Oreochromis niloticus: one gene and its partners. The protein of the gene in region 3 binds, or shares a complex with, the protein of the main gene of each other region. Links are inferred from orthologs where the notes say so. Each region holds a gene or a part of one and is shown on either strand. Other genes may lie near its edges.

Evidence for each region.
Region 1: the proteins of ras-related protein Rab-11A (region 3) and rab11fip2 are in contact, whole or in part, in a crystal structure (PDB 2GZD), measured with the Homo sapiens proteins. The link is inferred for Oreochromis niloticus from reciprocal best matches to the Homo sapiens genes RAB11A and RAB11FIP2. Residues at the interface, in NP_004654.1 of Homo sapiens: Arg33, Ile44, Gly45, Val46, Glu47, Phe48, Ala49, Thr50, Lys61, Trp65, Arg72, Arg74, Ala75, Ile76, Ala79, Tyr80, Arg82; in NP_055719.1 of Homo sapiens: Glu478, Ile481, Asp482, Asn483, Leu485, Val486, Met489, Glu490, Pro493, Ser494, Leu496, Arg497, Val498.
Region 2: the proteins of ras-related protein Rab-11A (region 3) and rab3ip are in contact, whole or in part, in a crystal structure (PDB 4UJ5), measured with the Homo sapiens proteins. The link is inferred for Oreochromis niloticus from reciprocal best matches to the Homo sapiens genes RAB11A and RAB3IP. Residues at the interface, in NP_004654.1 of Homo sapiens: Phe36, Leu38, Glu39, Asp127, Leu128, Arg129, His130, Leu131, Arg132, Ala133, Pro135, Thr136, Leu156; in NP_783322.1 of Homo sapiens: Asn367, Thr368, Leu369, Ser370, Ile371, Glu372, Pro373, Asp412, Arg424, Thr428, Cys431, Asn432, Thr435, Tyr439, Leu444, Val445, Lys446, Gln447, Gln448.
Region 4: the proteins of ras-related protein Rab-11A (region 3) and myo5b are in contact, whole or in part, in a crystal structure (PDB 4LX0), measured with the Homo sapiens proteins. The link is inferred for Oreochromis niloticus from reciprocal best matches to the Homo sapiens genes RAB11A and MYO5B. Residues at the interface, in NP_004654.1 of Homo sapiens: Leu11, Lys13, Arg33, Glu35, Ile44, Gly45, Val46, Glu47, Phe48, Ala49, Thr50, Gln63, Trp65, Glu71, Arg72, Tyr73, Arg74, Ala75, Ile76, Thr77, Ala79, Tyr80, Arg82, Gly83; in NP_001073936.1 of Homo sapiens: Ile1627, Gln1628, Gly1629, Leu1630, Trp1706, Met1710, Arg1713, Tyr1714, Ser1717, Gln1718, Glu1721, Arg1724, Gln1745, Leu1747, Gln1748, Leu1749, Lys1750, Lys1751, Glu1755, Ala1759, Leu1763, Tyr1779, Glu1786.

What each region holds. Positions count from the first base shown.
Region 1 is NC_031978.2:25,621,625-25,629,268, reverse strand, and holds the start of rab11fip2 (rab11 family-interacting protein 2), read right to left. Parts: upstream 3,011-7,644; 5' UTR 2,818-3,010; intron 2,102-2,817; 5' UTR 1,878-2,101; coding exon 1,525-1,877; intron 1-1,524. UniProt on the Homo sapiens protein: A Rab11 effector binding preferentially phosphatidylinositol 3,4,5-trisphosphate (PtdInsP3) and phosphatidic acid (PA) and acting in the regulation of the transport of vesicles from the endosomal recycling compartment (ERC) to the plasma membrane.
Region 2 is NC_031981.2:19,555,660-19,562,561, reverse strand, and holds the start of rab3ip (rab-3A-interacting protein), read left to right. Parts: upstream 1-3,897; 5' UTR 3,898-4,049; exon of another isoform or gene 4,050-4,148; intron 4,149-4,600; exon of another isoform or gene 4,601-4,726; intron 4,727-4,830; exon of another isoform or gene 4,831-5,068; intron 5,069-6,902. UniProt on the Homo sapiens protein: Guanine nucleotide exchange factor (GEF) which may activate RAB8A and RAB8B. Promotes the exchange of GDP to GTP, converting inactive GDP-bound Rab proteins into their active GTP-bound form.
Region 3 is NC_031965.2:5,551,854-5,559,648, reverse strand, and holds the start of ras-related protein Rab-11A, read right to left. Parts: upstream 3,017-7,795; 5' UTR 2,868-3,016; coding exon 2,828-2,867; intron 1-2,827. UniProt on the Homo sapiens protein: The small GTPases Rab are key regulators of intracellular membrane trafficking, from the formation of transport vesicles to their fusion with membranes.
Region 4 is NC_031972.2:36,569,781-36,577,092, reverse strand, and holds the start of myo5b (unconventional myosin-Vb), read left to right. Parts: upstream 1-4,312; 5' UTR 4,313-4,704; coding exon 4,705-4,731; intron 4,732-7,312. UniProt on the Homo sapiens protein: May be involved in vesicular trafficking via its association with the CART complex. The CART complex is necessary for efficient transferrin receptor recycling but not for EGFR degradation.

The DNA of each region.
Region 1 (7,644 bases), on a different chromosome or scaffold from region 3:
TGTTTGCTTAATGTAGGGTTAAGAAATGTGTGTGTGTGTGTGTTGGACTTTTAAGGCTCATCAACCAAAGTTTAGCCAAATACAGCAGAGTCTTTCCAAGCTCTGATGGTTTACACTGTGTTAGTTTATTTGAATGTACATCTATACATCGATCTCTCTCCTCAAATCTTTTTTCAGTAACTTTAAAGAGGACAAACCTTATTCTGGCATGGCTTTACTTGAAGGCAACTAAGCAGCCTTAACAAGTCACCCAATTATGACTCAGAGAGACGCCCACTATTGTCCACCAATATAGTGGCATAGATAAATATCTGTTTCCAAACTTGAATGTATTTTGCACCAAGAAAGGCACAATGCATAGAGGCCAGATTTTAACACGAGGGAAACTAAACTGTACAGAAACAAGCCAAGATTTAATCCCAGGCGTCTTTGGCTCTGAAGGAGAGCCCATATTACATTCACACCTTTGAAAAAACAAAAACAAAAAATGGAGTATAGGAGTGGCTAACAAGACATGTTTGTCCAGCTCCACTAGTTTCAGTTAGGTCAACTGGTGTCAGTAATTACTCTAAAATAATCTCTCTGCAGCGTAGGCCAATCCATTGCTAAGCCTCAAACAATACAGTGTCATGAAGATGGAAAAAAAAAAAAAAAAAAAAAAAAAAAAAAAAAAGTACAACCAACATGTCCTTGCTAACTGAGCATGAAAGTGTGTCACTGGTGTGCTAAATAGTTTTAAAGTGAAGTGCTTCTGTTAGAGCATTTCATTTACTCTGCTCTTAACATTAAAACTTGTGTATCTAATAAAGTGTATTTCTAAAGCAAGTGCACAAAGAAAATAAGGCCAACACTATGGTACTTAAATCATGTGGCGCAACAGGGTTGGGTCATGACCTTAATTGAGACCACAGTGCCTAATATAACATGCAAAAGACAGCACATTTGTGAAGTCTAATATGGCAGTAATACTTGTGGCAAATGTGACAAATAACAACTGACTTAGCTCATGGTGTAATCCACTTATGACTGGAAAGGCTGTGGAAATATTTTCCACTTCCTCTCAAAGGTCTGTCTCTATACCAACAAGACACTACAGACTAAAGACCCTGAATAATGTACATGTGATGCTAATGTCTAAGAACTATACTATCTAAAAAAAAGTGCTGTATGTCCCATGATTTGTGTTAGTGTTAAAACCAGCCCAGGTCTTCTCTTGAAGGGAAACTATTGACCTTGCAATGACTGCAAAAACTGCTAATAATAGTATTTCTGTCCCAAAAAATCTGAGGGAATTATATTTTCCAAGAAGTGTGTGTGTGTGTGTGTGTCTATATATATATATATATATATATATATATATATATATCAGAGAGCAAAAACACATGGTTATAACATAATCTTCTTCAAAAATGAGGATAAATGGATCACTTCTAGAGCCCACTGCAGTAGTGATTATGTCCCCAAAAAACTTCCCTAAGAACCTTTGTGATGTTTTGTGATATTTAATACACTTTTATTACTTACTCTGTTTTCTTTCTCTCCTTGTTATCGAAGATTTCATTAAGATTTATGCACTTCTGACCCAGAAACTTGTCCATCCCAACCAGAGAGCGATGCATCACTATGAGGCAGAGTTCATACACTTCTGGGTTGCCCTCCAAAAGTAGGCCAGGTAATTCAAAGGAGGCTTCTTCCCTCCACACAGGGTTAAGGGTCTTCTCCGCCACTGATGTTGAGTACTTCTCCTTGCCCAGCTGGATGATAGTGTAGGCATCATTGGTGCCATTTTTGCCTTTGGCCTGTAAACCAGTTGCTTGAAGAACAGTGGCTTGGACATGGGTTGGAAACCACTTTTGAGACTGCTCGCCCAGTGACATTGTAAGCACCAACTGTTAACTGAAATCCATTCAAAATAAAGTCAAATATAATTTATGCAGCAGTTTTTTTCAGTGAGTGTGACATGCAAGAAGCAGCAATCATGATTCACTATAGTCTGATATCAGCGTTTAGCAGCACTTTCTACAGTGGACCATAAGTTTGACAAACTGAGCAAGTCTCATCTTCTGTCAGATCACAGATGTCCAAGCCACTGCTGAGTCATCTGCAAGAAAACAGAACAGAAAGAACCAGGAAAACATCATTATTTTTGCCAAGAATGAAAGCCTGGCTTATGAAGACACAGAGAAAACTGATATTAAAGCAGGCAGCCTGCTAATAATTTGATGGCAGCCACTTTGGAAGTAATACGGCTAAGCAGAAATCACATTTTGCACTGTATGATTTGCACAATATCTTTAAATATATGTCCCTAAGATGGAGGTTCAAGGCAGATATTGATGATCTCATCCAGTGACACATTTTGGTGTCATTGTCACTGAATTAGTGAGTCACTCAGTGGGATATAGAGCGACCGTTTCATGTATCATTTTCAAATTAGTTTAGACTGAAAATAGAGGTTTTGACTGAGATTAAGAAGCTGTGCACATATTCAAGTAAAGCAGTCATGGGCTGTGGCTCTAGATAACTCTAGATGACGCATTGATGCAGGTATACATGAAAGAAGTGGTGTAAGTAGCCATGTAAGTTACATTAAGATGCAATGTCCCTTTAAGTGAGCGTCTCTCCACAGGTTTGTCAAAAGTAAATATTACTAAACTGATTACAACAATTAAATGATGCGAGGCAATATTAAATTGTCACTTTTTCGTGAAGCTTTGTTAGGGGTAAATTCAGTTAAGACTGGAGGACAACGTTAGCATTATGCGGCTAGCTGGTGAGCACACAGAGAGCATCACACACAAGCACACAGCTTCTTACCTCGGTGTCATTTTCACCAACACCACACGGACATTCAGCGCTTCAGCTCGGCACAAACTCTTCCCTCAAACACACTCATGCGACACTTTCGGCTAATCTTCGCTGAACTTGCTGTTGTTGCAGTCCATTACTGCTCACTGCTGACGGCCAGTGGCGAGATTTACTTCCTAGTCTGACATCACTTCCGGCTCACCCCGGTGAAAGTTGAGGTGTCAAAATAAGGTGGTAGCGCTCGCTCGCGCGTTCTAAGGGAATTAGGTGAAAGAATATTTTTTTTTAAAAAATCAATGAAAGCTGCTTAAATATCCAAAGACGAAGAAAAAGTTGAAAAACAAAAACAAATTCAGCATAACCGAAGAATGTTCTCCATACTCGGTACTGGTGCTGGGTTGTGGGTGTACTGTACAGGTAAGCAGCAATGACAGGATATATAAATATGTATAAATTTCTAGCAAACACACTTTCTGTGAGATATTGTTGCGCATGTGTGTGCACAGCGTGCGTGTGCTCGCGCATTTTCTTGAGAGGTAAATCATACAAACATGGGAAGTGCTTTTGTCTCATGAGTGGGACATGGAGGTACCGATAAGGGGTTCACTTGAATGAACACAGACATGCTTGTCACCCCACTTGACAAGTGCATCTTAACCAAACACACCTGCCTGTGTGGGTTTTTATCGTTCTGCCGCAACCAGTGCAGTATGTACACACCACTGGCCCTAGGCTCCGGCTGGGCCATCCATCAAACTGAGATTATTGCACTTATCTAGAGTACATCTCTGAATGAAATGCTAAGGCTTAGTGAAATATTAGGCTGTACAAAAATGTGAGTCAGATAGCATTTAATACATTCGTGGATCTCACCCTCATGTTTTACATTAGCTGTTCCATTAGGTGAATATGAAAGTACAATGTCTCTTTGTAGCTGTGGCTTTAAAGCATTTAGAAGTGGCAAAATGTTGGCCATAGCCTGTATATCACATTTAGTCTTGGAAAAAAGGCTTTTGTGTCACCTAAAACGGATTTATACATAAAACATATTTTTTAAAATATAGCATATATAATATTTACATTTATTGAGGTTGATGTGCACCTTCAGGTTTGTTTTCTCTACAAACCTCTTCAAGTTATTCCTTTAGCTGGAAGATTTTTTTCAGTAAGGCCGGGTATGATCCACTCTGCTAAAAAAGTAACAATATGTATTCCACTTGCTTTGTGCCATTTTTTTAACGTATTCATCTTAAAACGTATTTGAATTTGATTTATTTTATAGCTTTAGAGACTTTAAAACCTTTGCTGTAATTTAGGATATTAAGTTTTCAGAAACAATTACAAAATATAAAATATAATAAATGTAATATTATAAAGCATCCTGTGTATATTTTCCGAACACACCTTAATAAGTACCCTTTTGAGGGGATAATGCATCTTTATCAAACTTTTTGATGTGTTTGTGTAACTAGTTTAGACGTGTGTAAACACATATCCATAATACAAATGAAATCCCACTCCATTTAGTTGTAGACCATTGTGGATATTTCTAGAAATTAGCAGGCCAGTTGTAATTTGCAAAATGTAAATTTTATCTAAAGACTCTTGAGTATATAGTAGTCAGTTCACTTGATTTAACAAAGTCAAAGATTATTGTCTGAACACAGTGTCTGTTTTATTTCTCTACCCTGTTTTATAGTCTATCAGCAGAAATGGAGCACAAAACCTGTAAGTGCATCCACACCACATGCACCAGTCACAATGTAAAAATCAGCTAATTTCAGATAGTAATGATATAAATATAATTATATAAATAATTATGCAATGCAATGAATGCCAGCTGAGATATTGCACTGCTGGATCATCGAGCAGTTGAGATATGGGCACATCTGTGCAGTTTTTTAGGAATGTAAGTGCAGTCACTAAATGTTTGGGAGTGTTCAGTTCTCACATGAGGGTGGAAGCTGTTCTTAAATCTGTTCGTCTGTGACATGATGGACCCGAAGTTTCTACCAGGGGGGAGCGGGTCAAACAGATGGTGTCCTTGGTGTGACGGCTCTTTCAGTATGTTGGCTGCTGTACTGAGGGAGCGAGAGCTCAGTAAGTCTCCCAGCGAGAATATAAAATTGCATTAGCTGTGACAGAAGCTTTTATCCAAGTGACACACTCCTATTAGACATTTGATGGAAGTGGGATTGTGCAAAATGTGACTGCAGAGCATGAGTTCTCAATGACTGACCCAGTGACGGGTTAAAATACAATAGCAAAAAAAAAAAAAACCCCACAAAGAAACACATCTTAGATTTGTAACTGTTTGATTTTAAGCAGGGGCAAAGTTACAGAAAAACAAAACCGCAAAAACCATTGGGAGTCTGCTGATTTTTGTTTACAACTCAGGTCAAGATCTGATAATACTTCAGTTTGAGCAATTGCCCTGCACAGCTGCTGGGTAACTTCCAAGTGTTTATGATTTATCCAGTCGCATCACTACTCACATTCCTTCTCAGGAGCACTTCACTGTCTGTTGTGGTTAGCAGTGTCAGGACCGAGCTGAATGAAATAACAACCAGAGGCATGCAGATAAACAACCAGGGTCAAGACACTCTTCCCCTTAATTTGACAATAAGTCAAACATTTTCATATATTACCCCCTTTATGAACATAATACCACAGTGCTTCTTCTCTGTGAGATAAAAACATGAAAGACACTGCATTCCAACATCACCTGTATCCTTTTATTACTCTCCTCTCGTGGAGAGGTGCATTTAAAAACAAAATATCACGCTATAAACTAGAGAATAGTAATGTAAGGACGCTGTCTACATTTTGAGGGAACAGCGCTGAAGGTCATAAACTGTCCAACATGTAAGTGAACCTTCTAGCATGGCCCGGTCCACATGTTGAACCACATTAGCTGTGGCCCCTAACGGCCGCCATCCACTTCCCGCACATGGTTCTGGTTTAGGGCCCTTTCTTCAACACTATATAGGTTGTATTACATTTATTAAACACTTAAAAAATCTCTGGCTGCAAGGTTGTCCATCTGTCGAGGACAAGAGAAAATATATGAAAGAGGCATGAGACTCGGCGGGGAGAGGGGAAACAGTTGTGATGTCAGTGCTGGTCTTAATGTGGTGCAGGTCAAAGTTCTGGACGGATGACTGATTTAAAAGGTATAGCTTTTAGCTGAGCGAACAGTCAGATCACAGATGAATTTTAATCAAAAAAGAAGGAGAAAGGCACACAAATCACCCCTGCTTTGCTCTCAGGAATGTTTTTGTGCATGGCTTTGATATATAGGTGCAGATGTGCGACTGCAGCATGACGAGCAGAGCTAAAAAGGGCCGCTAAGCTGGGGCCACATGTCAGCCCGGTGACTCCCTAAAGGTCTTGATTTCTACCTCATAACCTTAGAAAAAGTAAGTGAAACTAACACTAGAAAAAAAAATTGCATCATCCTCTCATGACTTGTGCTTTACACAGAAGTAAAGAGCAGGACCATGTAGAAGGAAATAGGTAACTTTAAAGCTGCGGCTCTAATCAGCTTTTTGATAACATTTGGCTTTGTCATCACATTCTAAACCTAGTTATTATAAACCAAGTATATATTAAGTTTACCATGTATTGAGCTGTGTAGAATTATTTTTCTTCATTTCCAAAACAAGGTCTTTTATGTAAAGAGGTGTTATGGAAGCTGGACTGCTGCCTGGAGCTATTTGATGCTTGTATAAACAGAAGAATTGTTGTGCCAGAGGGCATGGGCCTCTACTATAGTCTTGCCCTGTGCCCGGCTGTGTTTATGGCTGTCTTGTGTCTAGTTTGCTGACTTGTGGATTATAGTTTAGATTTTTGCTGTTGAAGTAGTTTTGCTCAAATGTTGTTTGTGATTGAAACAAGGGTCAGCATTTCCAAGCCCAGACCTGTGGTATACTGGGAGACACTGTTTTGACGCCACCATTATTTATGTTATCCCTAGTGTAGAAATTAGAGCATTGGTAGCAGGAGAGTCTCATTGCACAGTTAGGCACGGTATGAGCTTGAGATCATGTCCAGGCATCCAGGACTGTCATGGGGAAAATGTTAACAGCCGACTTACAACACATTCCAGGACTCATCTATGTTCAGTAGCTCTAGATAGTGACACAATGAGATCTCAGGGATAATTCTGGTATCAGAGTGCACTTCTGGCATCTGATGTCCTGGATGTGTCTTCTTAAAGATATTTCACCAATGCCCAACAGGAGGCAACCTTCAGCACTCCCAGTTGGAGGGATTTTACATGTCTCATCCTCAAGCACCTTTCTGAATTCAAAGCAATGATAATGTACCTTATTGATACATTTGCTTAGCGCATTGGTAAAGGGTTAAATCTCCTGGTCAGCTGTGTGAAGATTGCATGTTCTGCAATCTTCACATGTGCCTGTGCATACGTGGGTTTCCTCCCACAGTCTAAAGCAGTTAACAGTTAATTCTAAATTGGACTGCCACAGTCTATCACAGACCCTGTACCCTGCTTCTCGCCTTTTTCCACTTGTCTAAATATTGACGAGTGTACATTGTGTATTTATTAACACAGAAAAGTAATGACAGATCTTTAAGCTCAACAAATAATAAAACCTTTTAAAAATGTGTCTTCCACTAGTGCTGTGGTATTGGTATTGGTATTGACCTGATACAAAGTAAATACAACGCCAGTGTTGCCAGTACCAAACCAGTACTTTTAACTTTTGTGAATGATCATCAGTTTGCAAATTCTGAACACATTTTAATGTCCATTAAATCACAGGGAATTTTACTTTTCCACAATAAGTAGTTAATAAAATAAATTGAATGAAT
Region 2 (6,902 bases), on a different chromosome or scaffold from region 3:
AAGAAAGTCTGGAGGTTTTAAAATTACTAGCAACTTCATAGGTGCTGCTGCTGCTTTATAATCAATAAAAAATATCTTTCAGCCACCTGTTTTTGTTATTACATGCTTTATTATTCAAGATTTCTACATCAAGTTTGTAGTAGATTCACATTTGGCCCAATAAAAAAGCAATAAAATGTAAGATTTTATTACTGCAAAAAAAAACCCCAACTATATGCACAAATATATTTTTCTTTAAGTAAAAGTATATTAAGGTGAACAGATTATGTTTGCGCTTGTAAATTTAATTGCAAAACCTTCAGTTTACAGGAGATTTTTTTTTCAATAGTTGGCAGCAGTTGCAGAAAGCAGCAGTTTTGTTGGTCATAAAGGTCATAAAGAGCTGGATTAATCTTTAACAGCGTTAAAAACCTGTCGGATAAATGTACAGTGTGCAGAGTTTGCCTCAGGAATGTAACGGAGCACAAGGGTAAATTTAGTCCACAGCACCTGATGGACCAGTTAACCGAGAGCAGGCGACTGCAGAACAGGATTGCAGAGCCGAAACCAACGAGCTCCTTGGCCAACACATTCCTGCCTGATGTTGCGCTCATGACAAGAACAAAGAGAAATGCTGCTTGATGAGTTTGAAAAGACAGAAATGAGGAAGTGACTGGAGAGCCAAGAAAAACCTAAGTATAGACGAGGCGGTCACAGTGAATGAGCCTGGGTCTGAAACCAGCCTGGATTCACGTGGGTCCTCAGTCACAGTTCAGCAGGGCGTTAGGTTTAGTACAATGAGCACAACACTTTGTTAGCTGTCACACAGCTAAACTGGCTCTGCAGGTGTGGAGATCAATTATGAACCAACTTATCTCCAAGTTGTGTAAAGAAAACCCTCAAATCAACATAACTCAGATTGAAAAATGCTCAATCTTGAGGCACAGGCTCATTCTGAGCATCATTGTTGGGTTAAATGCCAAAAACCTTCCATAAAAAAAATTAAAAACTGAACACCACAATGATACTTCTGTTTAAGTCTTGACTACTTGAACCCAGACTGTTCTCTTTCCACCACTGTTAAGCTATTATTGTTATTATTTTATAAAGATTTCTACTTTTTTTCTTTTTTAAATTAGATAAAATATGTATCCTTCTAATTCCTGCTAATCTAGAATAATTTCACGGTCACAATTAGGGAGCAGCTGGTTTGCTCTGGCTCAGGACCTGTAGGTAATAAATGCTGAGTCAATGATGAAACACACAGAGGAGTGTTACTACACAGTTATGAATGAAACCAAGCCCAGGCAGTTACACGCACTCATTCCTCTGTTATCAATATTAATATTTCTCCCGAGTCCATTATTTTTTAAGCATCTTTAGATTTTCTTTGGTTTATTTATATCCCTTCATGATTATTGATAAACTGATGTAAACGACTCTATTTTTAATGGTTTTTTTCACTGAAATGCTGTAAATGATCTTTGCTTTCAACATTTGAAATACAGCACATTTTTAATTACTCATGAACTTAACTTTTCCTTTAAACGATAACGAATAATACATACTTTTATGCACACATTCCTGCTCATGGAAATGATTATTAACAGTGGATCATTTCGGTTTTCACGAGATGGTCACAAACAGACAAATCAGTCTTTACATGTGTCTCTCATTCTTATAGGAAAGTCTGTCCATATGTTCTGAAGTGTTTTCAGTGTACTGCATTTTAACTTTAAACATCTATCAGACCATCACTGAAAAATAAATCTGCCTTAGAAAACTTCCTTTTCCATTTTACACCTGGACAAAAAAAACCAAACAAACAAGCAAAAACAGAAAAAAACTCTAAACAAAAACAAAACAAAATGCGGCAGAATGCAAGAAAGTAAAACTTACCCATAAAATCCTCGCACGAATCATCCTGAAGTTCAAACCAGAAGCTGGACAGATGATTTTCCTCCTTCACAGAGAAGGCAGCAACATCAGCCTCTAATCTGGCTGGAAACGATAGTCCGAGCTCCGTGTGCGTAATGACACCACCCGGCTCGTTACGCATCACTTAAAAACACGGGGAAACTCCACCCCCAGAAGGGTGTGTGTGTGGTTTATTCAGGTGTGTGTGACACAGTGGAAATATATTACACACACACACACACACACACACACACACACACCTCAGAGTATCATAGGGATGGGTTCAGAAGCAGTAGGACATGTGAGATTTGTTTTGTTTTGTTTTGACATGTAATTGAACTCATCACATTCCTATCATTCTTTTGGGACTGCATAAAAAAAAAATCAACAATAGAAGAACAATAGAAACAGTTTAAATCAAATATAGATCAGCCAGCTCCCCGAATCTGCATCTTTATAATCTTTATATATCTATATCATATCTCCATATTACACAGTTACAGAGTGACATATGTGTGTCTCTGTTTTACAATAAAGACTCCAAATTGTGTGTAAAATACTTAAATTTAGCTCCACAGTCATAAAACGTAATATGACGTCAGTGACGGGACTCGCTGTGCTGCTCACTGAGTAACTGTAACTTACAGATTACTCGGGTTTTGAGCACCCTGATTTTTTCCCCCCAACTTTATTAAGACTGGCTGACATCAACGCAGAATGACAGAGCGTTAAAATCGTTCAAATACACTCAGTTATACAAGTATATTAAAATGTTTAAAAAGGTGAGGCTTTTTTTATTCTTGTTGTCCATTATTGAGTAAATATTTTGCTTTATATAAAAAAGTAACTGGAGAACTTGAATTCATGAACCACTGTTTCCTATTGGTTCCACAAAAAGTATAATTTAAATTGATATCACCTTCAAGTCTCTGATGGTAGTGGTTAGTTGGATAGAAGCTATGAAGCATTTTAAAAGAAACGTCCTTCATTGGTCAGAAAGAGTTCTAGTGGTAAAAACCAGACTTTGTGCCACCATTTTCCACAAATCTGGACCAGTATGTTTGAGAGGAGGGCGAACATGTGCAGCCCCGAAGAAACAGGATCTAGTAGAGAACAGCTCCAGAGACCCGAGGAAGCACTCTGATGGTGCGGGTTCGCGTCTTCGTGTGTTCAAAGAGCGCACGCACAACAAAACATAGCGCGTCTTTAAACTTGGAAAAACGGGGCTTGTTTGCCCCCTGGTGGCTTTTAATTCTTCTTCACTGTTTATCTTCATCCTCACACACAGCCTCTCTGACTGGAATGAAGTGAACATTTAAAGATTAAAACCACTGGAGACCTTAATCTCAAGGAATATACCACCTGTTTGTTCATTTTTTCCCTCATACTCAGGGACCATCAGGGAATACTATTCCCATTCCGAGCTACAAATTATTATTATTATTATTATTATTATTATTATTATTATTATTAGTCGTAGTAGTAGTAGTAGTAGTAGTAGTAGTGGTAGAAGTAAACTTTCAATTTTGTTTATTACAACTTAAACTTAATAAACTTGGATTTTGTCACTGAATATTATCTCGTCCCTACTATATATTTGAATCACTTAAAAAAATAATTACTGTGTGTGTTTATTTTATTTAATTATTAATTTTGTGTTTTCACAACTTTAACATCGTAAATTTAACATTTAACAACAATTTAACTATCATAATAGTTATTCCCCTCACTGAGCGATATTTTTATTTTATGATATATTTCATATATTGTACCTTTAGTTGTATAAATCTTAATTTTTATTCTCTCCGAACATTATCTCTCTGTCCAAGCACAATATTTTATTTATTTAATTATTATTATAATTATTTTATTTTACAACTTTTAGTTCATAAGTCCAGACTTTTTGAGCTTCATATTAATTTGAATTGTTTTTTCTTAGTCTTTATTTGTTTCTTCTTTCACGCGCTCTCTTTTTTTTCTTTACAATTAAATTAAATGTAATGTAATTTTATTTGTTAATGGGCCTAATGCCGAGTAATGAATTCCTGCTCTCTGCACTGTGACGAACTGCTTGGCGGCTCTGTGGTTTCCCAGCGGACCGTGAACGTACCTCCCGTCAGTTGGAGCTCCGCTCTGCGTCAACAGCCGCTCCGGTGAGTGTCTCTCCGTTTGTTTGTCTGTTTTTCGGGCTGTTTCGGCACGTTACCGTTAGGAAGACTGACCGACTGGGCTGCTGTGCACGCGGAGGTCCGGTGAGTCCACCTTTAAGGCCTCGTTACAGTTTTTATTTTAATCCGTGAGTCGCTGAGTTGGGCGAACTTGCTCAGCCCCACTAGCTTGCGTGCTACATACAAAAAGCATCGATGCGCCCATTATCGGACAGCGTTTCTCCTCTCTCTCAGCATCACTCCGTCACTCTCTCAGTTTTCTGTGTTTTAAAGCGAATCCGCAGTTTCATAAATCCGTGCATTCATCTGTTTGATGTAATCAATGAAATTAGCTAGCCGTGGCCAGGCTTAGAGCAGTGGCCGATAATGGAAGCAGGGGTTCCCTCTGCAAGCCATTCCCTGATGTTTACTGAATGAGAAGGACGGATGTGTTTGGGTTTTGTTTTGTTTTTTTGTTTGTGTTTTTTTTTTTAAATAGTTCTCTTCTTGTCATGTGCTTCATTTCCGTGTTTTAACACACCTGTGCCCACACTCACCCTACTAATGTCAAGTAATTGGCCAGCTAACGTTAGCTGCTCAGCTAATCCTTAGCCCGATGTAGCAGCGAAACCCGAAGCTCCGCGCAGAGACGCCGCTATCATGCATCTTTCAGACAGCGTCAGGTGACAGCCCTTAGCTCTCTAACTTCAGCCCCCCGCAGGTGCTCACGTATTAATGCATTAGCATAATAGGTAACGTCACTTAACGTGCTATCCGCGGCTAATCTATTGCTAGCTGTCCACAAGACACCACCTGAGAGCAGGAGTAGCTCACCTGGAGGAATGACCTCCAGCGTACAGGTGACACTGTAAGCAGCCCATCTGGGTGCAGGGAGAGCTGGAGGTCGGGTAAATGAGCAGAGACGCTGTTGCAGGTGTAAACTCAGGTGATATTTGTGCACATGCTGCAGTTTTTGTGCTGAGCTGGTTTCTCTGAAGTACTACAGTGTGTCAGGACCACTGAAGGTAAGAAGAGGAAACCCCAGGGCTCAAAAAAAATTAAAACCTGGCAGATTTATGAGAAAAAAAACAGTACAAATATAGACGACAACACCTGGCACATTTATGGCAAGAAATGAGAAAATTTATCAGGAAAACCTGGCAAAATTTCAAATACAAATTGTACATTTACACATTTTATGAGAATTAACCGGCAAGTTTTCAAGTGAAAATTTTTAAATGTACAAGAAAACAAATGTCAAGTTTGTGGGCAAAATAGGAAAATGTACGAGATAAACTGGCCAAAAAAACCTTAAGTATATCTGCAATTAAAAGAAAAATCTATTTAGAAAAACTACCAAATTCACACAGAAAAACTTAAATGATTAAAAAAATCCAAATTTGCAGCTTAATTAAATTTATAAGCAAAACCCTGCAAATTCACAAAAAAATTCCATTTTTGAAAATAAAAATATCACATTTCCAGTTTTAGAAAAAAAGGCAAATTCTTGAAGAAAAGCTGGAAATGATTTATTTTTTAAATTGCCAAGTAATTTTTAAAAAAATGTAGAAAAATGTGTGAATAATTACCAATAAATGAATGCAAACTGACCTCCCTTTGCACTTTACATATCGAGGAGTAAGTATAAGAAATCTACAGGCTTAATCCTATTATTGAACAGACCCAAAAGGATTTTAACGTCTGGCTTGTTCTGCTCAGTCTTTAAATCCTGATAATTCAGTTGATACATCTGATTATGGGAACAACCATTACCTGTACACATCTGTAAGCACACAGAAGTTTCATAGGCTTCTGGATCAAACAGGCTCTGTCAGGCCTGGTCGTCGTATGTTTGGTGAAGCAGGTATTCCTTCAATGGCTGTCTGTGCGAGACGCTCTTATTTTTTTGGAGATGTATTAAAGGACGGCGTTCACCTGTTCTTCTTTCTGTTAAATGATAAATGCAGGTCAGTGCCACGGAGCCCCGGCACCTTTATTTTGACCCATTTGTCACCGCAAACTGTTGATGGTGAGCTTTTCATTGTTGTGGTCAGTCGAGCTGTTTGGGATTCGCGTAAACACCGCCACTGAGACACAGGATGAGCCTTCATCGGGCGGCCCGAGTAACCCGGTCTTTGCACGACGTGTCGGGTTACCACGCCAAGCTCTCTAGGACTGGTCTCTATGGCGACAGGCAGGCAGGGAAGAGGAGTCAGGTTGTTTTTAATGAAGGTGGAGTTTCACCTGTGTGTGTTCATGTCCATCACCATGTGTCATACATCCTGGATGAGTTTGTGCTGATGTGTTTTTCTTGCGGCACAGTGTCAGACATGTGAGCTGTCTTTCTTTCTTTTATATTAATATTTTATGGGATGAATAATTAAACCAAAATACCTTAAATTATCTAAAATCACCATCTTTTGCAGTATTTGATTGTTTCAACTCTCTTTGTTGGTTGGAAGTTGTGATTGGTTGGTGGAATTTGGCTCTTTAACCTCTGACAGATATATCCTAATCTGACATTACTTCCTGATTTCTGTGCCCCGTGTTTGAAACCACAAACCTCCTCAACAAACCACACAAGAGGAAACAGGAGATTCATTTATATCAGGTATCATCAGCAGTTTTTTGTAGTCTGATGTCTGATTGGCCTTGAATGCAACGTTAATGCCTGCTGTCAGCTGCATTCCAGCATCAGTGAAACTCGGACCAAACAATGACACGACTCAACGTTAACGGAGTCCGAGACACGGCATCACAGCTGAGGATCATTTCCCAGCATGCCTCACTGCGGCGGGAACAAAACCCCTAATCAGGCCTAATGACGGGCGCAGAAGAAGAGATGACATGATGATACTG
Region 3 (7,795 bases):
CGTCACCTTAGAAGTCAACAGCACTGAGAGTGCACTCAGTGTTAAAGTTAACTTGATATGTTTATTTTACTACTCTGTGCGTTAAATCACACAGTTAGCTATTTTCTTTAGAATTATCCATCTTATTTGCACAAATGATGCATTTTACTGTTGTATTTTATATGTTCTTCATAGCTTTTTAATCACTATTTTATCATCATCTGATAATATTTTGAGTAGCATAGGCAGCAAACTCGGGGATCCTTTTCTACCCAAAAGAATCATATAACCTACAAAACACCCATTTTTATGTGAGCATGCACAGATCCTGAAGCAGAAAGCCCGGTCTAACAGAAAGCTGATAATCAACTCTGTGATTCCCGTCATCTTCAATGAGGGGAAGGCATGAGGTCACCCGCCTCAAAACTTCAATGAGGTTTTGTTGAACAAGCAAAGGCAGAGAAAGCCTGTCTGTCTTGAACTATGTTAGTAGTATATCTGTCAGTAGTCATCATATCAAAGTATCATACTTTGATACTGCAATGAATACAGAAAAAACAACTCATAAAGCGTGGTAATAATTTTGTGACAGCTTCAACTGGGGACTCAAAAGCACACAACAGAATAAGGCAAATTTTATAAAAAAGGAATGTGTGAGACCAAAATGAGGAGAGTGCTGGGATCCCAAATATTTAAAGTGAATTTTGCCATATGTGAAAGTCTCATAGGTTGTTGGTTGTTCAAAAAAGCCACTAAATCTCTTAAAAACAAAAAAAAGAAAGAACTGTCCAGTTTGCCTATCACAGAAACTAGTGTGGGTACAAATATATAACTTAGCACAGAAAGTAAGGAAATTAGTGTTCGGTTGATTATTTCTTTGTTGGAAGAATGTTGCCTGGCAATAAATCTTAAACCATTAAAGAACCTGTTTATTTCCGCTTAAACGCTGCCTGATGGTGAAAGAAAAATAGAGTTGTGGGTTAAGTAGCAAAGGTGAGTATGTGGGTTACACCAATAAAAACTTGCCAAAACTTCCAATGCCAAACACATTCTGCTACTGACTCGTTTGTCATTTATTGGATTGGATGGGAAGTGTGAAGAAACAAGACACACCGGCAATTTCACAATTTATTCATTTAACAGGGACTTCAGTAGCATGTGGAAGAACCAAACACAGCCACGACAGCCTCATCTCCTCCTCATGCTTGGCCACACACTGCTGTGGGACTGCATCCTATTCTTCAACCAATATTTATTACAAAGCAGCCAGTGTGGTTGTGTTGGTTACTCTGGCAGGACAACCCCCCTTCATGCTGATGCTACAAGCATTCAGCTGGGTTGACATCAGGACTGCTGGCAGATCATTCCATGCTCTCCACACCTATATTCTGGATTTAATCTCTGATAAACTCCACTCTGTGTGGGTTAAGCGTCTTGGAGGACAGAGATTGTTCCCAGACTGTGGAGATATGGATTGCCACTGGTTACAGAAACTCATCTTGATATCTAGCTCCACTGAGATTACCTCCAGTGATGAGAAGCTTTGTTTTTTCCATTGAGAGATGCTGCTCTTCACCGTCACACTGCCTCCACCAAAAGCTTTCACCGTATCGGTGCATCAATCAGCACAGGGTTCTCCACATCCTCTCCATACTCTGACACTTGACACTATGAGCCAACTGCAGTAAGCACAATCTGGACTCGTTGCTGAACGTAACATTCCTGTACACATTCAGGGTTCAATTGCACCCGTTATTAACACAAATGAACCTAACAGTGAAGGGCAGTCACAGCAGGCCTCCTGACACACTTTGTGCAGTCTGTTCCAGGTTGTCTGGGTACAAAACCATAAGAAATATTGTCCTCCAAACTTTGATTGCAAATCTGTAGAAGACTGAGCACTGCACTGACAGTGTGTTTGTGATGTCGTCTTGTTGGGACACCCACTTCACAGCCTGTCTCTGATATCCACCCTCATATGGGACCTGGCCTTCAATTTGGAGATGGCACTAGGACTCATTCAAAATAATGCTGAAACTTAGTCTTGCACATCACCAGCTTGAGGTTGCCCTATGACATGGATCTCATCCAGATTAGTCAAACATGTTGACTGATCAGGTTCATGCCCTGCTAATCAGACATCAGATTGTCCATACCCGGCGTACCAGAAGCTCAAAACAAGAGTAGATAGTTGTTTGACATTGGCATAGTTCTTCATTTGTGCAACCCAAACATGCGATACCATTTAAGGAGAAATAGAAAGGCATTCCAACAGTACAAGACTTATTACCAAGAAGCATTGTTATGACACAAAAATAGTAAAGCAGACACAATCTTCCTGACTTTTTAAGCAAAGTTTATACATTCACAGTAATAAAAATACTTTAAAAATAATATAATGGCGAAAAGAATGATTTGGGTCATTGTTTAAAATTGTGGTCACGTGTTCATGAAGCAGCTCTTAACGCATTCTTTCCAATCCTCACACAAGTTTCTGTAGCTTGTCAAGCTGGACCTAAGATAACGTGATAACGGTTAACGCTAGGCGTGTCCGCGCCCACTATCAACAAGCTAACAGAAGCTAATAGCTAGTGTTCTTTTCTTTTCAGACGCCCCACTTAAATACACCGTACGTAAAGAAAATAGCACTTTAACGCCAACCCTCAAGTGAAGGCCGTTTAGAGGTATACACCCTTATATCAACTTCCCTACAATTTCCTGAAAGCTCGGTGAAAATCAACCACAGCACAAAGGTTGACGATGGCTTAGTTAGCCTGACAGCTGACCAGCTGGCCTGTTTAGCTTATCGGCTAAAGCTACGACACTAACGAGAAATTCACATCTTTACCTTTGAATAAATAATCGTATTCATCGTCTCTAGTGCCCATCGTCTTATTGAGACTGAATATTTAGTCCAAGATATGCTTCGTTTCAAAGCAAATACGGCAATCTGCAGTATTTTACTCTTCCAACGGGAATGTGTTTGGGAGCCGTACTTCCGTATTTTCTTCTTCTCCTTCGCTGCCGCAGAAAACCGGCATAATTCTGACATCAGACATCTAGTGGTCAAAAAATATACTTCCCAACTATCAACTTTTCCGTTAGGGCCGATTTATGGAAGTAAATACGATGCAAAATGCGAGAGCTTGTCAAATAAAAAGAGATAATGTGTAGAAAGAATTTGAACTTGTATTTTCACTTGCGTTTTAAATGTATGGTTACAGAGAAAATATAAATAAATGTGTAAATTAATGTTTGTAATTCAACTTTTACTCATTTATTTATTTATTTACTTTTTTAACTGCTTACAACTACACCTCTGTGGTTACAACCTCTCAAATCAGTGAATACAAGTGCTCAACTGCACCCTCAGAAGTCCCAAATTCATGAATTCTGCGCTTCAGGGGCAGCAGCAAAAACCACTTTAGCTAATAGTAAATGTGCTCGCTAACTAGCTATCCGGCATGGTCATGGGTGATTGCATTTAACATTTTACATATTTAAAATCTATCAACACCAATTTATAAATGCCCCTCCCCCAACCTTCTGTTTAATGCCAGGAGACATGAACCCTCCATCAAAAATGGTGTGCTTACTGTGGTCAGTGAAGATGAAGATTAAAGTTTGAAATTAAAAAAATATATAAAATTTAAATTTTATCATATTTAAAAAATGTTTAAATAACAAGCTAAAGTAATGGAAATATGCTTGTTTATTATTCAGCAGAAAAGTGTCCAGCTGACATATTTTTTGGTATTTTTTTTGTATTTGAAAATAAATGTTGTGCTGATTTAACTGCATTTGTATTGAGTGTTTTTAATTAATATTTTTAAATCATATTTACATGGAGTATTTATATCGATTAAGTAATCCTTTCTGTTTTGGTTAGTCTAGCTTTCCCAGTGTCTTTATTTCTGTTCCACATTTGTTACTGCCCATTTTAGTTTGTAGAGCTAGATGTCTCCTCTGTTTTGCATTTAGTTTTGCTTCCTTGTCTCATTTTTAACTATGTTTTAGGTGTATCTTGTCACCCTCCTGCGTCCATTTCACTTGAGTCCATTGTGTAGAACTTGTAATTCAGGCTGAGGGGACAGTTACCTGTACAGCACTGCTACAGTCAACATGAGGAAGGGCATCAAACAGGCCAAGGAGGTTTACAGGAGGAGGATAGAGGGCTTCCTAACTGATAACAACCTCCACCAGGTGTGGAGAGGCATCCAAGCCCTCACCAACTACAAATGTGCTGACCAACTGGGGGGATCCTCACCAGGCTCTTCAACCTCTCCCTGACTCATGCCACTGTTCCCACCTGTCTGAAGGCCTCCACTACCGTTCTCATCCCCAAAATGTCTGGTATACACAGGCTCAATGACTACAGACCGATAGCCCTACCGTCTGTAGTCATGAAGTGCTTCGAGCGGATAGTGTCGAGCAGATAGTGTCTCACCACATCAGGGACTGTCTACCCTCATCCCTTGACCCATCTGTAGAGCGCTGACCCATCTTGAGAACAGGAAGAGCTACATAAGGATGCTCTTCATGGACTACAGCTCAGAATTCAGCACTATAATCTCAGACATCCTGAATCCAAATTGGACCACCTCCACATCCCCCCTGCCACCTGCTCCTCGATCAAAGAGTTCCTCACAGGACTACGCTCTCAGCGCCTACTGTGTGCCCTATACATCTATGACTGTACCCCAAGCCACCCAACCAACATCTCCGTCCACCCCCCTGGACCCACAACACCAACGTAAAGAAGGCCCAGCACTGGCTGTACTTCCTCCGTGTCTTGAGAAAGAATAACCTAGAAGCTGCTTTCTGCCTTCTACTGCTCCTCAGTGAAGATTGTGTTCTCCTGCTGCCTTGGTGTTTGGTACACGCTACTGAGAACAGCAATGCTGCGCATAGGGTAGCTAACAATGCCCCAACAAATCATTGGCTGCCCCTGCGTTCCTGGAAGCAATCACAGGTGACTCCTTGCACCCCACCCACCACATATTTGACCTGCTGCCCTCTGGTTGGTCAATCAGGTCCCACACCTCCAGAAGCACAAACAGCTTCTTCTCCTGGGCTATTCGGACAGTCAACAAACACTATCCCCCCCACACCCAACCCCTGCCCACCCACCTCACTGATCTGAGCCATGGTCTGAATGACATCCGTCACTCAGGACACTCACACACGGACTCCATTCAACTCTTTGCACTGCTTTAAGCACTTTGCAACTATTTTGTCCTCTGATTTTTGTATATATCTATCTTGTTTGCTATTTATTCCTGCTGACACCTATTTATATTTTATTTTAGCACAGTTGGTGTGGAGCACTCACAATTTTGTTGTACATGTACAATGAGAATAGAGCCCTATTCTGTTCTAAACATTTAAGCTCTGCCTTTTTGTTGTTGTTGTTGTTGCCCAGCGTCTGTTGTCATTCCTGTATATTCCTGCTCATTTCTGAGTGGATTTAATTACCCTTTTCTCTTCAGGGACCTTGAGAGTCTGAGATTATGTTAATTTTCTTTCTGAAACAGAAAACGAGGAGTTTCTTTCAACTCAGGGTTAACAAACTCAGATGTTCCTGGAATAGTGCCCAGGATGTATCAACATGCAGTTTGAAGGAGATCCACTTGTGAGGGTGTTGTTAGATACTTTGCCATGTATTCCAACTCAACAGTGGGTTAGAGAAACCTCACATCTGACTAACAAGAAAGCAAAGAGAACAAGAAAACACGTATGACATGTTCTCCAACTTATCCCATATCATCTCAGTTGAGTTCAGGTTGCCGTGATCAGATATAGCAGCCCATGACACTGCTTCTTGGTTATCATGTCGGATCTTCCAGTCAAAGCCTGTAATTGTGTCATTTGGTAAGAAGATGCTGAACAGACAGTCTCCCCATGCATCTATTAGCATGTAAATATGTGAGCTACTTATTCAGCTCTGTGGCTTGTTGGTCGCTAAGCATGCTGCATGACCATGACAAAAACAGATATGGCGACGTCTTTAAAATGCCAAATAGCATTTTTCCCTTTTTGGACTTGTCCTCAGACTCCCTGCCAAGACTTTAGAGAGCAGTTTTTTAGTGCTCTACACCATTTGAAAGGCGCTCCTCTCTAAACACCACAGGAGAACTTGATACAGACTTGAATTTGACAGTTTAATCAAACTACACAAATAATAATCAACAAAAAACAGGTTTCAGTGATCCACTGTAGAAAGATGTGAACTTTTATAACTACAGTGGAAAAAACCCATTCAATTCAGTTTTATTTTCTTCATATAGCACAATATTACAGTGATGACTGTCAAAAAGCAATTTATATTACACAGTGAAAGACCCAACATTAACCTATGAGCAAGCACTTGAAGCAGGTTAGAGAAAACTCACATCTGCCACAACTTTTTGAACTGATGAGAAAGAGAAAAATCAAAGTTATGACAAACAACAAATAAAATATGGAAAATATGGATATTATCAGTAATATATGAGATGAATGGTCATCTTACAAATTAAATAATTAGTAACTGGCATAAATCTAATTCCAGACAGCACAAAAAATGACCAAGAGATCAGTTCAGTGATTCCAACAAGTGAATGTAAGACAGAGTGTTAATCGGCTGCATTTTTCAGTATCATGGTGCCTGTAAACCATTTACATAAAAAACAATAATTAAAGATAGTTAAAGAATTGAGACCTGCAGATAGCTAGTAGCTATAGCTACCTGTGTTAGCACACTTTATTATTTATTTTTTACTGACTAACTAACTTCTTTTTAAAATCACCCACTGTAGGATTTGGAGTTTTGTTGATTTTGCACTGGCTTCACTTTTTACCCTGCTGTTTGTCAGTTTACTTTACCTAAAACCACAATCTTTTCCCTAAACCTATTATTGCTGGTGTGAGTGGGTCAAGACACTGATGCCAAAGGACACGTAGAAAAATAACAACAGGAGCATTTCTAAGCTCTTCAAAGTACTGGGTGTACTTAGGTATGGTTGTCTCATCTCGTACTGCAGCACAGTTGCCCTTAATGATCCAGGGCCGAGTACGTATCAGTTTGTTTCAGCATCTTGGCTCCTTTCTTGGAGCGGATACACTTTTGAAAAATGTTGTCTCTTCATTGGTTAGGAAGTGGCATACTGTTTTCACATATTTGTTATTTAAACTCAGATAGCCAAGTTTACTATGTCAATATGTCTATTTACTCTGGAGAAGGCTGTAAAACTGAGAAATCTGTCCAAGATGGGTGGATCTATCAGTAGAGCTCACTTCTATCCGATCACAATACTGAATTGAGTTGCTCAGGATATCCTGAATCTTTCTGTCAGTAAGCACTGCCGTTTTGTTGCTGTTAGCTGGCATTCATAAAACTTTGATCTAACATTGTTTGACTCCGACACCTAGAAAATTAATCCTGACATGATGTGACTAGTGATGTGGTTAGCCCATAACCAGCAGCCTCATTGTCAGTTGGTCTTTACTTTACTTTATTGATTTAAATAGCACTCTACACAGGATAAAAACCACAAAGTGCTTCACAATAATGGTCGGAGACAAAGGAGACCACTTGTCTAATCTGCTGACAATAACTCATTGTAATAAATTGTGAGTAAATAAGAATATTTATAAACGTTTTTGTGTGTTACAGCCCTGAGTTTGGTTTAAGAGATCAGGTTTGATTTGAGGATGAAGATTCAAAGGATCTGATGATGTGAGTTAAAACAGGGCTAAGATCAAGACCTAACGTAATGATTTCAAACCTTTTGCCCATTTGAATCCATGGCAGCAGTGCTGAGATTCTTGTCAACAA
Region 4 (7,312 bases), on a different chromosome or scaffold from region 3:
TGTTGCAGTTTGTGTTAATGAAGTTATTCAATCATCGTGTTAAGGAAATATCACACTAACACACTCTGACACACTCTGAGGTTTTCATAGGTAAACTTGTGCAAGCACAAATAAACTCTGCATCATTTCATCATTACATCATAGCTGGAGGTGGGATGGACAGAATAACATGAACACCTCAGCATGACCACAGTGTTTTGTTTTTGTTTTTTTAAGAATGCTGAGAAATAGCAAAACAATCACCTGAAGGTCAAAATGACTTAAAAAAAAACGGTCTCTGCAGACCTGAAATCACCTGAATAACATATTCACTTAATATTTTCATTTATTTCAGTTCATCTTTATTTCACCTGATCGTGTTTGTAAACCAAACATAAACTGTATATCAAAGATGGACACAGCATCTAGGTCAGTAAAGTGAAGTCTTGCACTCCTCCTACTATGCAGGAAAAAGAAGTCAAAAAGGGAGTCTGACTGAATAGAAGTCTTTGACAAAATGAGTCTACTGCTCACCTGATCTCTGACCTCTGTGAATTTTTCTTGAAACTCCACCCTTTCCTCCAAATATGGTCGCTTCTGGTCCCACAGAAAGTAACATGGCAGCTGCCAAATTCCTAAGAAGTAAGCTTTAAACACTTGTTGCTGTCCCTCAGCACACCTCTGAAAACTGGTGAAAGAAATCAGCTCATCCAAATCTCTGAATCATGCACAGCTACCCTTGTAGAGTCAAAGAATAAAAAAAATGCTTACATGTTTATGCTGTCCATTTTCTTGTGTAACTAACTGTGTCTCTATTGCAAAGACTGACCACAGGACTGAACGGTGATTTGTGCAGCACCAATAAAGATTATTTTGAACTGTTAATCGTGCACAGCTCCTCTGTTCCCAAGCATGAAACAAAGAGCTGGAAAACAGTGATATGAATGCTTGTGCCACATTATATTTCACTGATGTCAGAGGAGCACAGGTTCAGGAACATTAATGAAAATCACAGGTCTGTCAGCCTCTGGTGAGATTTCTTCTTCCGTGTGCAGCCTGTTGAAGTTCTCTGTTGTTCTTTTTCACGCCTGTGTTTCACAGCCTTCACGGCTGTGGCAGCGTGATAAAGCCTGTTGTGGGTGGACCGGCGTCTTGTCAGATTCATGTGCAGGTAAACACCTCATACCAGCAGAAGGAGTGGTTTGGGAGTGGACTCATTAGCTGAGTAAGAATAATAGCTGTGCTCAGACAGGTCTGAGATGAGCTGCTGCTTCCCACAATCACTGTCACAGGATCTGATGCAGCTTCCTTCAGCACATGAGGATCTATTTATCAGCCGGAGAGGATGAGTGGAGATTATTACCCCTACTCCAAGGTAAAGGACCCGTTATCGCCTCTGTACTTGCTGTAAGAGCTCATATCTGTGGTTAATGTTCACACAAAATATTCTCTATAACGTTCAGCCTGTCGGCATTACACAACATCTCTGATAACAGACACACTTTACTGATGTGTTATCAGAAGGAAAAGTCTGACTTACATGAGAACATTTTATGTAAAACCAGCTTTATACTTTCAAATTTTATGTCTGTGAGGAGCTATTACAGGAAATAAAAAATGTGATGGGTGGTGGAGCATGAAGGTCAAATATCTACTTTTTCTGGCTCGATAGAATTTTTAGTTTGACTGTGTTTGTGAGAGATTTATCAACATGTCTGAAGAGAAAAGGATAAATTAGTTAGTTGGAAGGATTCTTAGAGGCCTGGATGAGACACAAAGAAAGCAGCCAAAAATCCTACATTTCCCATAGTGCAGCTGGATGGAGTCTTACTGCACTGAAGCAAAACATTAACAGTGAAAGAGACCCAAAATCTTGAAGCAGAGCGTAGTGCTCTTTTAGTGATGAAGTATTAATATCATCTAAGCAAAAGCACTGTATTTTTAATAATACGACTGGAGCTTGTTTACTTTCTATGCTGCTGTGTAGCTTCATCTGTAATAACAAGGCATAATTTCTCTCCAGATTCGTATTTTTAGATTTATGTCTACAAAGTCTCATGCACAGACTAGTTTTAGGCACCCTTTGGTTTTGAATCCTGCTGTGTTAGTTTTTTGTTTCTGGAGTGACCACATTTAGACGAGGTGGCGGAGTGCAAACTGACCACCCAATGCTAGCTAGCATGTTAGCACCAAGTTACATTCCTAGAATTTTACTAAAACTGGAGCTCAGACTTCTCTGCCGATCTGTGACAATAGTTAAACTCACAGCAACCATGATATTGGTCAGATAATTGCCTCCAGCAGCACGAACGCGGCAGCTACAGCCACCTCTCACCACCATAATAATGCAAACTGTAATAATTAGATCAAACCCAACAATCTTCACAAAGTCAACAAGGGAGAAATAGGTTATAGTAACAAAACAGTTTCCTGTATCAGCCTGCAAACATGTTATTTCTGCAGTAAAGCCGAACATTTTAACATGGGAGACTATGGGGACTGACTCAGCGTTGGAGTCTCAAGTGGTCATTAGAGGAACTGCAGCTGTGCAGGCTGACACTTCATCTTGCCACAGACTAGGAAATGCCTCCTGGCAGTTATTTAAAAGACTGAGTCAACAGTAATAAATTCTACGTCAGTGGTCACCAAGTCTGAGGACTTTATCCCAAAATAACATTTAATAGTGTTTTGCTTTTGTTTTTTTTTGTTTTTTAACGGCTGTCCTTGCAGGCTAACTGACATGCACAGGTTACATCGGATTAAGGTGTAACATGTGACATGTTTGCTGGTTTCAGCCTACAGTGTAACTCCTACTGTAAAATAAATGGATTTATAAAGTACATGATTTGCATTTAAAAATAGAAAGAAACATAAAAATTCTTAAGTACAAACCAGGTGTTAACACAGGATTTCTTTACATCCCACCTCATTATTGCAGCTTTGATTGGTCTGGCCTCTTTCTGGTTCCACTGCATTCAGTTTTTGTGGTCAATTTAAACACAAAGAGTTGAAGTGGAACAAAGCTTAAGGTGTGGAAAGAATGACACGACACGTTTGGATGAATGCTGTGAGGTGAGGAGGCGTGGACGAGCGTTAAATGATTAATTCTCACAGTGTGCAGCCTGTTTGCTTTCATGTCTGTTTGTCTTCTCTTTGTGACTGATTGTTTGACATTCTAGTTGTCACTCCGAGCCTTCAAGAAAACATAATCAACAAACAAAAGAAAGATTAAAAATAGAAAAATGTAAGTTCCTCTGAGGGTAGTTCTCTAATCAACCAAATGATGGTGCTATTGTGACAGCACCACAATTCCAATATTTTGCAATGCTTACTTAGACAGCTAATTTTGGTTATTTTTACTTATATTTTTAACGTTTTTTAAATATATTTGACTAATTGTGGTTTATATAGTTTTATTTATTATTGCTTAATAAATAAACCCTTGCACTTAGTGGTAAAAGTGGTACAAGGTCAGCAGTTTGTATTTATAATATTGACCTTTATAAACAGATTTGGTTGTAACTAGATAAAACATTAAAGAGTTACAGCAGTTTGACCGTTAAAGTGGCCACACCCACAAAGGTGTGTCAGCCAATCACAGAAAAGAAGTTTTAGGTTTTTAGAGGTCATTGATTATAATATATACAAAGTTTGGTGAAGAGTGGAAGAATATTGGAGAGCAGGCAGACAAAAGTATGTTTTTGTTTTATGTATGTATGTTACCAATGAGCTTCTCATATGTTGGAGGATTCCCACTGTGGGGTCTTCCTGCTCCATATATGGCGCTCTGAATTACTGTGAGAAAGACTGAAAGTCATATATGTTGTTTTATTACAGTTCATACACATGATTGACGCTGGATTTGCAATAAGTGAAATAAAATTCGGACTTTCAGAGTTTAGAGAAGCAGCTAGGAGTGATTATTTTAGCGGTTTAGCTCTGTTCACTTAGACCCACACAAATAATTCTATATACTGGAATAAACAGGCAGTGGAATTGCTGCCGTTTTCCACTGGATCCACAAACACAATCAGTCTTGTATTAATTAGTTCAGAATATTTTGCAAGGCTTCCTAATTTCTGAACAGTGGTGAGCTATCTGTACCAGATCTGACTGTGTGAGGCAGTGAATTTTGGAGAGGCTGACATAGTGTTGATGCTTTTACAGGGTTGGTATTCACAGAAATTCAAATAAAATGTTAACTTGGGAATTTTTTTAAAAAAAGGACCCCTCAGGTTTCTCTCAGGACCCTCTGTGGGGCGCCACGCCTCACGTTGAAGCACCCCGCGTCGTGTGTGTGTGTGGTTGAAACCTGGCTTGGAGCCAGGGATCAGCCAATCAGCGGGCAGTGTGGGGAAAACACGGCTGTCAGGAAGAACCGGCCTCCTCCCTCCACCTGCGGGTCGCTTCAGGCTTTTCGTTTCCGTTTTTCTGGATTTCGGGATCCTTCTTCCGGTTCTAACACTTTTCATCGGCTCTGAGTTTACCCTAAAGTATCCGAGGGTTCGTTTTTACCGGAGGAAACACCAGCGGGAGCGTGCTCCTTCGGACCGACACTACACCGAACAAAGTGACCGAAACTCGGCCAGACACCTGCTGCGGGGCATGCGCACTGGAAGGTCTCTGCTGGTTTAGGACCGAACCGGAGCGCAGAGGGACTCTAATGGATCATTAATGGGCACAAGAGGAGCTTGTTAGTGTAGTTTGATCCACCGGGAAGGCACAATGTCCGTGAACGAGCTGTACACGAAGGTGAGTTTACTTTTCACCTGGAAAACAGACGCGCACCTGCTGGAGCAGCTCCAGCCCGAACCCCGTCACTTGCGTCGCCTTTAGCCGCTCAGGTCTCACCTGCACTAAACTCTGAGCATGGTTTATGTTACCTGACGGTGTTTATTCAGATTTTAAAGAGATGAGTCACCTGTTGGGACTTGTGTTGGAACATTAGTACATGGCGCTGCGAGTGGAGAGTGAAGTAACGTTGGAGCTATAAATGTTGACGCTACAGAGGTGGGGTAGGGGGATATTTGGGCTGAATGTAAGAGAGGAACAGGTAAAGCCTGGATAACGCCAAGTAAAGAGACTTTACCGAAGAAATTCCACAGAATGCATACTTTACTGTAAAATGGCTAATTTTTGAATGGAGTCTTGCGTGCGGCTGAGCGGACAGGTGCAGGAGGCGCAGATTGAGTTAAAAGGGACCCGTGTTGGATTTCAGAGTGGTTCACAGGACTCAGGCTGTCTGTGAGGCCGTGCTTGACGGTTTCTGTGATCAGGGAATTATCACTGGTTGAATAAACCTTCAGAGCGAGACCGGAAGCTGGATTTCTGCTGGAAGTTTGAACCTGTTATCAGCCTGGAAAAGCAGCATTATTACACTCACTGATGATTCATCACTCAGATCACTGACAGCCCATCATCTGCTCACCTGCACATCCGTGATTAATGATTAAAGCTCATTTTCTATAATAAGCAACAAAAGAAAATCAGAGATGAAGTCATTGTCTTATCTAATGTCTTCATCCTTCAGCCACACGCACATGCACACAGTCAGATCATTAAATTTGTTGTGTTTGTCTTCCAGCTTAATATTCTTCAGCATCATAAACCGACAGGCAGAAATGGGAGAGAGAATAAAAACATAAAACAGCTGATGAGTAACAGGAAGAAAATGCTCAGACAAAAACAAAACAAAATAAAAAAAGAATAAAAGCAGAGAGACTCTAATGCATTGTGGGGATTGTAGGATTCAGCAGTGTTGTGGGTTCAGTCAGGCTGGGCTCTGTCCATCCTCTGATGGTTGGATTTCTTTGATTCGAGGATTCGACTTTGTTGTGTTCTACTCTTTAATCTGAGCTTCGTTCCCGGTCTAATCTGTGACTCTTTATTAACTCAGCAGGAACCTGTTTGAATGTTTGTGAACTTGTTAACCTCGCCTCAGCTTGAGTGAAACCTCTGCTCAATCAGGCTGTCTGAAATCTGAGATGCAAAGACTAAATGAGCTTCCTCCTGCAGCAGAACTCACTGTAGTCCCACTGTAGTCCTTCAGTCTGTACAGTCTCATGAACCACTGTAATCAGGCAGAAAAGTGTCTTCTTACGTCAGCATTTACAGCAGGGGGAAAAGTTGTGAGTTTAATTTTGTGCTTTTTTTCTGAGATCTTCTTGTGAGAGATGAGAATTAAAACTTGTCAGGTTGTTTTGTTTTGTGATCTTGGGCTCTGCTTCATTCTCTGAAAACTTTGAGTGCTGCTGTTTGAGTGCTGGAGTTCAGTGAGTCTTCTTCCTCATGCTGTTATGAGAAGAAAGTGACTCAGAAGCCGACTTTAATCTGTTGATGCTTCATTTTATTACATGCTGCTGATAATGATGGCCTTGACTCTGACACCAGATGTATTTTTAACTGCCGTCATTTTGTCGTAGAGCTCTTCTGCACCAAACTCACTTTGACTTTTGGACCTTTCAGTTTGAACTGAAGCAAAATTTAATGTGTGGACTGTGCAGAAGTGACAGCAGGATCTCTGACAGGTTAGGTTAGGTTAGACTCTGTAGACTAAAGTTAGCCTACAGCTTCAGATTGTGTTGATGGGATGTTTCCACAGCTTATGTTTATAAAGCTGTAGCTTCTTACTAAAATCACATTTTAAAGTTTCCGTGTTGTTTTATGTTGTTTTGCTTCACTGAACCGCATTTCTTTCATCCTTTTTAATTTAAGTGACATCATAAACTCTGGCTGAGACAGTTGTTGTCACAGGTTTTGGTCTCAGGATGAAAACCTCGTAGTAAAGGTGTCATAATTGGAAAAAAGGGGGAAATGAGCTGCAGCAGCACCTGTAGACAGGACGCTGGATCAGCTACGTTTTAAAAAGCTAACTGTAAATAATGACGGCAGGCTGTAGGTATGTTCAGAGGACAGAAGAGAGGTGCACACCTGTCATCGCACCTGTCCATATGTTTAACCTGTGAGCGCAGAGTCTGTGTTCCTGCAGCAGTAACAGTGAAACCTGTGAAGCTGGACCGTACGTGCTGCTGATACAGCTGCTGCTCCTCTACACTGAAAGGAGGCAGTTGAAGTGGCTCAATCATCTGACCAGGACGCCTCCTGTTCACCGTGTTATGTTTTATCTATCAGGGAGGACACCCCAGGACAGACCAGGACAGATTATGTCTCCCTGCTGTCTTAGAAAGGGTGGAGGAGGTGGGTGGGCTTCTCTGCTTGGATCCCTGCCCCCGAGATTAGGGGCAGCGGCTTCTTCCAGTCTTAAAAATACCGATCACATCGTAAAAATTCATTGCAATGAAAAAAATATAAACAGAAACAATCAAACCATCTC